Caenorhabditis elegans: one gene and its partner. The protein of the gene in region 2 purifies or fractionates together with the protein of the main gene of each other region. This does not show direct contact. Each region holds a gene or a part of one and is shown on either strand. Other genes may lie near its edges. The genes, in order: gid-7 and Y57G11C.36.

The links.
Region 1: the proteins of Y57G11C.36 (region 2) and gid-7 fractionate together in Caenorhabditis elegans (co-fractionation; one large-scale study listed by BioGRID). This does not show direct contact.

Annotation. Positions count from the first base shown.
Region 1 is NC_003283.11:3,754,943-3,758,868, forward strand, and holds the start of gid-7 (CTLH domain-containing protein), read right to left. Parts: upstream 2,133-3,926; 5' UTR 1,857-2,132; intron 856-1,856; 5' UTR 855-855; coding exon 774-854; intron 530-773; coding exon 399-529; intron 25-398; coding exon 1-24. Other genes in the region: Serine/threonine-protein kinase chk-1, read right to left, coding at 2,376-2,792, 2,997-3,159, 3,328-3,561, 3,759-3,926.
Region 2 is NC_003282.8:14,771,998-14,775,923, forward strand, and holds the start of Y57G11C.36 (K Homology domain-containing protein), read right to left. Parts: upstream 1,758-3,926; 5' UTR 1,115-1,757; intron 1,059-1,114; 5' UTR 1,040-1,058; coding exon 428-1,039; intron 372-427; coding exon 248-371; intron 83-247; coding exon 1-82. Other genes in the region: Y57G11C.51 (DUF3362 domain-containing protein), read right to left, coding at 1,758-1,979, 2,036-2,296.

The DNA of each region.
Region 1 (3,926 bases), on a different chromosome or scaffold from region 2:
TCAACGAGAGTTTCAACAGAGCTTCTGAAAAAATGGGTCAAAAATACGGTAGCCGGTCTCGACACGACATTTTTTGTTTATTGAAAAAAGACATGCGCCTTAAAATTTCGTAATTTCAAAATTCCAAAATTCCACGTGGTGCGAGGCTGTCCCGTTACGGTTTGGTCTACAAAAAATGCGGGATTTTTTGCCCAAAAAAATGTGATGTCAGCACGGTATTAATCATGCGAAATCAGTTGAGAACTCTGCGTCAAGCCGAAATGAGACACTCTGACACCACGTGTGCTTTTTTTACAAAAAACTCTGAAAAATCGATAAAGAAACTTTAAAGGCGCACACCCGTTTTCATTCAACATAAAAAATGTCGTGCCGAGACCCGAAACTGGTCAAAAACTTACGTCAAGCCGATATTATCCAAAAATTGTGCAATAATTCGAATTGTTGCTTTATCATATTTTCCCAACGCGATTTCCTTTCGAATCACCGACTCGGTTTCTTCGGGATCATCTTGAGATCTGGGGGATAGTTGCTGGAAAAAGTGAATTTTTTTGTTGCATTTCAATCGCGGAACATGATGTCAAAAAGTATCATTTCGGCTTGATCTACGTAGATCTACAAAAAATGCGGGAGTTGAGACGCATATTTCTCAACTGATTTCGCATGGTTAAGAACGTGCTGACGTCACATTTTTTGGGGCAAAAAATTCCCGCATTTTTTGTAGATCAAACCATAACGGGACAACCTGACACCACGTGTCGCTGTGAGACCCTTACCGCATGATTCTGCAATCTTTGTGCTACAGACATCTTCTTACCCTTACGACCAACATCGTCAAGTTGCTCGTCGACAGTCATTCTGGAATTTTTTTTTGAAATTTTTGCCAATTTTCGCGCGCCAAGAATACGGTAGCTGGTCTCGACGCGACAATGTTTTGTTTATTGTCAAAAGGTATGCGCCTTTAAAGAGTACTGTAGTCTAAAACTTTAGGTGCCGCGGAATTTTCGATTTGCAAAAATTGATATGTTTGCAATCGTAAAAACTACAAAAAATCGATTGAAATTGAAGGTTTTGTTATCGTAATTTCGCTAGAAGTCGACATGTCCGCTTAAAGGCACCCAGATTTATTCAGATGGGTCTCGGCGCGAAAAGAGTTTTTTAAAAGTTTTTTTTTTTGCGTTTATCAATGAAATTTCTTGGTTTTTAGCGAGTTTTGTCGTTTTTTTTTTAAATTTTCGTAAAATGTTTAGACAAATTTCATAAGTGCTTTTCCTGCTTGTCGGCTTTAACAGAAAAATGAAAGAAAACGCAAAAACTCCAAAAAATTTTTTTTTCGCGCCGAGACCCATCTGAGTGAATCGATGCGCCTTTAAGAATGAATGACAAAATCTTGTGGCATTACAATAAATACAAATGAGTGTGCGCCTTTAAGGAGTACTGTAGCGCTTGTATCGATTTACGGGCCTGAATCAGTTTCGAGAATCGAGCCCGTAAATCGACACACGCGCTACAGTAGTCATATAAAGAATTACTGTAGTTTTCGCTACGAGATATTTTGCGCGTTAAATATGTTGCGCAGTACGCATTCTCAGCATTTTGTGTTCCCGTAATATCGATTTCTCTCAATTGTTCTCATCATTTGTTAAATTTTGGTGTTTAAAAAAAGAATTTAAATACGAAATTTTATCGGAAAACTAAGAAAAATCGATAAGAAAATTCCGTAACCACAGAAGTTTGAAATTACAGTACTCTTTAAAGGCGCACACACACTTTTGCATTAATTTTATAGAAATTTGTCGTGTTGAGACCTGGTACAGTATCGCAAAATCGTCATATTTAGCTTTTTTTAAATTGCAAACCTCTGTCGCTTGGCCGGGACAACGGCTGGCTCGTCAGCCTCTTCTCCGATGGGTTTCCGAACCACTTTGAGTTGTTAAGTGGGAACGACGCGCCACTGATATTTTGAAAACTACAAAAACGAATTCCAGATTTTCCAGTTGAGACCTAATGACAGTAGGGGGTAGAAAAATTCATAAGAATATATTCGTGCGTATTATTTAGTAAGAATTGTCTTGTCTGCTGCAGACACTCTCTCAGCTGACGACTATCGAACGGAGGCGAGGGGCAGCGAGATATTGTGCAAAAGTGAGAGAGGGAAAAGAGAAAGAGGAGGAATGATGAGGCAGTGGGGACAAACTCTAGACGCAGAGATAAAAACAAACATTCATTCACAGGCTTGTAATTCGGCGTTAATTCACGTTAAATTTAAAAATTAATGGGATAGGGAGATGTTTAAAGTGATGATGATGATGATAAATATTGTGCTTTAAATCTCAATAGTCTGATGGAACAAAAAACGAACAAACAAAAAAAAACAATTAGACATCCACATTGATCGAGGACGCCGAGTGCTCCACATTGACTCCACCACCATTAACTATCTGCGGATTTCTTGGCACATATCCAAGATTGGCGAGCCAGTTGTTTCCGTCGGTACATATCCACTCATGCATACGGTTTCTAACGTCCATGAACATCTTCTTAAACTGGATTCCGTCACCGCGAGACCTGCGGAAATCTACCATGACACGTGGCTTGTCGGGAATATCGCCCATCGTGTACAGACTGACCATCATCGAAACCTCGCGCCACGTGACTAGTAGACGGTAGTCGTCAGTCTCACGAACGCCGAAGCCGGCGTGCTCACTGGCTCGAGCCACTTTTTGGTACGTGGAACGGATGTCGGTGACGACGCAGAAACGTGTCATACGGCACACCATTCGTTGGAGGAGATTCTGAAAATTTTAGGGGGATTTAAACTAAATTCTGGGTTTTTTAATCAAAAAAAAAAGTAAATTTAGCAAAAACCTCTAATTTTGCAACCATTTCCGTGTCATTAGCGAATTTTCATCCTAAAATTATCAAAAATGCCAATTTACGACCGAAAAATTGGAGATTTTAGCTAAAAATCCGCCAATTTCTGACGGTTTTTTCCTAACCGAGTTGGTCTGCGACATATCAATATGCTGAGTAAGCAGAAGATCCTCAGTCTTTGTCGGCTGGGAGAACGAAGCATTCTGTCTCTCCGCCAGAGTGCTCTTCTCGTTCGGAGTCTCCAAGTGACGACGTTTCGCGGAGCATTCGGCTTGTTGAGTGCATGTGCTGGAATATATTGAGCATTTTAACATGAAATTGTGATTTTTTTTTAAATTTAAATGGGGTTCTGGCCTTCCTCATTGCATTTTTCGCAACTAAAATCGAGCCGCGACGCGACACGCAACGCGCCGTAAATCTACACCAGATATGGCCGAAGCCATCTATTAAACTCACATATTCTCATCATTGTTGCGAGCGCGTTTCAGTGGCCGCCCGTTCGGTGTCTCGACTTGACCGAAATTGTGCTGATACCACGGATCCGCTTGGATCTGCTCGATTGTCGCGCGCTTGTCCGTCTTGTCGGTGACGATCTTACGAAGCATGCAGAGGGCTCGAACGTCGATCTTCTTCCACGGTCTCTCGTCGAGGCTCGTGTTGCTGATCCATCCCATGTAGGATTGAGAGGCGCTGAAAAAAAACATTCATTTCGTCAAAAATTAGCTAAAATCTCTGATTTTTGGTGTCTCAACGGTCGGAAAATAGTTTTTATTGTTTTTTCTCGTTTATACACATTTTTCGTTGAGAAATTGCCATTTTTAGCCGAAAAATGTGAAATAAACCATCAAAATATGCTAATTTCCGCCAAAAACGCGATGAAAACGCACTCGCTAGCCCGATCCCACGGAAGCTCCCCGGTGAGCATCGCAATGAGCACAATCCCAGACGACCAGACATCGACGGGCGGCCCACGGTACTTCTTTCCGGCGCAGAGCTCTGGAGCAGCGTACGGAATCGTCCCACAGCTCAAATCCAGCAGTCGCTCCTCTCCTTTG
Region 2 (3,926 bases):
CACTTTGGATTGTAACAGTCGTTCTTTGACTCATGGTGGCTTGGGCTGTTGCCTGGCAGACGATAACCGTATGGAAGCAGGTCTGTAACAAACGTAATGTATATTTTTAAGTTTTTATTTGGGAATTTTCGAAAAAGTATTATCATAATTATTATAGAACACGAAATGGGTGATTGATAGACACATGAAGGATACAGGTAGATACAGGAAAATTATATATATATAGGAGAATTTTAAAAATACTAACTCTGGAACGGATGCCCATAGTCGCCGGATCCTGGAGATGTGGCTGAGCCGCGAGGTTGGTAGGTACCATTCATATTGGCAAGAATGAGCAATTGTTGACGCTTCAGCTCGTCGTTACCGTCAGTCTGAAAACTTTTATTATTGGTGGATAAAAGCGATATTTTTATTATTTTTCACTCACTGGTACATCAAGAATTGCTTGAATGTGACCGACGCCACCTTTCAAGAGTTTTGCAGCTTGCGGCATATCTGCTGGAACAGAAATTTGCACTCTCAATGGACCTGTAGTGACATCGGGATTCGAGCTTGATCCATCTCTCTTGGTTCTTCCGAGGATTGTGATGCGGCAACCAGTTGTCACTTCGAGCTGCTTTGCAGTTGTTCCACGTGGTCCAAGAAGTCTTCCAACGAAGTTGTAATCGGGAAACTTTTCTACTGGAACCATGATAGTCTCCGTGAGCATCGAACCATCGCCACTCATTTGTGAGCCACCATCATGAGCATCGTTTCCTCCGACTTTCTGAATCTCCTTGTCGATCAAGTTGAAGACATGGTTGAAGCCGCCGCTAGAGTATTGAGCCAGCTGATGCTTCTCGCCTTTCAGCGCATCGATGTAGGCTTCGACATCGTGCAGATTCTTCGACATCTCCTGATCCGAGTGGTTTGAAGTGGATTTCAGCGACTTTTGAGAGTCATCCGACGGTGGCGGAGTCAGAAGAGACGAGTGTTGATGCTTTTCGGCGAGGCGGAGAAGTTGAATGCCGTCCGTAAGCGAATCGGCAGAAGAACTCATTGTCAGGCAGAAGATGACTCTGAAATTAAAAAAAAACATTAAAAATTAACAAAAAAAAATAGAAAAAAAACTCACACGACTGAACGAAAAACGTTTTAAAACTGAACTTTTCCGGGAAGGTCATCGGATCAAAGACGGGCGGATGGATGACGTGGCAAGCTCACGTGGAAACACCACATCAGCCGCTGCGTGAACTTTTGCTCTCATTTATTAAAAAATATATTTAATATTAAAAATATTTTTCACTTCACGTGAGCTGTCGTTCTTTTTTCTCAGTGTGTGAAGTGAAACTTCGGCGTAAATTGAAAATGAAGTGAAAATTCCTACGTGAAGTTAAAAATCCTCCATAAAATGAAACTCCTGAATAGACTTGCGCACCTTTTGCATAGAATTCTGCACCACCTGCATAGAATTTCGCAACTCGTGCATAAACTTTCGCTGATGCGTAAGCCGAGAACGCAAAAAATAAAAATAAATCTGAACTGAATGTTCTTTCAACAGAAAAAAATCGCAGAAAATAGCAAAAATGCAAGTGCGCTCTATAACAAATTTCCATTCGAAGAGACAGTGATGATTTATTCATAATTACATGGTAAATTGCAAGAGGGGGCACCTGTTTTATAAGATTAATGGCAAGGGGGAGGGATGCGAAATAAATATTTTACATGATAGCGGGGTAAGTATGAAATGTTAGTTGGGGGAAAGATCAATCAATCAATCAAGGGGCGGCGTGGAATCGTGGCGAGCGTCTCTGTGTGCTGGTAAGTGGAGTGGATGACGACGACGGCGAGGATGATGTGGAGGATGATGTGGAGGATGATGGCGTGGAAGGGTCCGGTTGCGGAGACCATCGTGGCGAGCGTTTCGGATTCGCTGACAGGCCTGCATCGCGACCAGCCCTGCGTCTTGCTGACGCTTCTCGTGCATTAGCTCGAACGACCTGAATAATTGAAGCAATTAGGTTCCAATCATAAATTGAATACGTTTATAACATACCTCCTTCGCTGCATCATTTAATTCCTCCCATCGTTTCTTGTCGCTCAACCTCTTCTTCTCTCGTTTTTCGGCTTCCTTCGCCCTTTTCACAGCATCAGAAGGCTTGGCCTTCTTCGGCCCACTTCCTTTCCTCGAAGCTCTGTTGGCGTTGCTTTTCGCATTTTCCTCCTTTTTCTTGCTCGGAGACATCTTCTTGTACGATTCCTTTGCGGCGATGGCTCTCTTTGACAGATCGTAAAGCTGGGCTGGTTGGGATCGCATCTTGTTCTGGAAGAAGACAATGAAGAGAAATCACAATTACCGGGGCTTTTCAAGTAGTTCGTAAAATCAAAGTGTATTTCAAGATGCTCGTTGCCTTATAAATTTAAAAACATGTATTTAAATAAAGTTTGTGACGTTATTTTGCCACATTTCTCGGAAAAATCGTGATCAAATATTTATTCAAAACACTTACCGTTGTTAGGAAAAACAATTTGAATCCAAAAATATAGCAGGAAAAATCAAGGGAGGGCAACCACCAGTCGCCCAGAATAAAAGACAGAATGTCTAACTGTCGAGGTGTGGGGACGTCGTCGAATTAAATGCACAATACGCAAAGGTACGCAAACACCGATGTGTACCGTACTCCGAAATGTTTTTAATTTCCATGTTTTAAACTAGGAAATCGACAAAAATGAGAGTTTTAAGCACAAAAACAGAGCTTTTGAAGCAAAAAATTATTAAACAATACAGATGACATATGCTCCTAGAAAATACCAGAATGAAGGTGTTTTTGAGGAAAAAAAATTTAGGCCAAAATTTTTTTTTAAACAACAGTATTTTCGAGGAATCAGAGAAGTTCCCGATTTTCCAACAAGTTGAATCTGTAGAAGACTTAAGAATACTCTCGAAAAAAGTAGCTCTACAGAAGTATTTTAGGCCAACGGAAGGTTCAAATTCACAACAAAAGTCAATGTGGAATAGATTTCTTGTAGAAACTGAACAATAGGAACAGAAAATAACTTAATGACTTATTCTGTAGTAGTTCCAATCTTTATGAACACATTTTCAAGTACTAGATATCTTCCAATCGAGAAAAAAATCTGGATAGGTTCGGTTTTCTTTTACGTCGTCAAGTGTCCTGATATAAGCTTTCAATGTGTTTATTGGATCACGAAATTCTCGTGAGAGCTCTTGTCAGCATAAGCGCACATCAGCATAAGCATATTCAAAACGTGAGCATAAGCATATTTCAAAGGTTTCAGCATAGGATAGTTGGCAATGAGATTTTGCAATAAAATGTGTCCAACTAGAATGTTGTTGGCGATAGTGTCAAAAACATTTGGTTTTTTAGGTTTCAATGTTTTTTTTTTCGATTTATGAAAAAAAAAATCCAAAGGGTACCCCTTACAAAAATTTTCTAAATTTTTTTTTGAAAACTTTTTTTGAAAACTTTTCAAAATTTGATCAGATGTTATAGAAAAATGCAATGTTTGTTGTTTATCTAGTTTAGATGTTCTGAACACGAATTCAGACTAAAACCTGATGTATAGTAGAACCTCAAAATTCAAAAAACGCACTCACTTCGGATGCTGATATCTCCGTGTAATAATTTTTTATGACAAAGTGATCAACTACAAAGTTGTTTATCTTAATATAAAGTACAATTTTGCAGTTCATCGTTTTTTATCAAAAAATTGGTTGGATGAGATATGAATAGAAAAAGAAGAAGAAAATACAAGCATGAAGGTGCCGAACTTTACACAACTTTATCTCGACCAGCAATTTTTTTGGTGAAAAACAATCAACTACAAAGTTGTACTTTAGATTAAGATAAATAACTTTGTGGTTGATCACTTTGTCATAAAAATTTTTCCACGGAGATATCAGCATCCGAAGTGAGTGCGTTTTT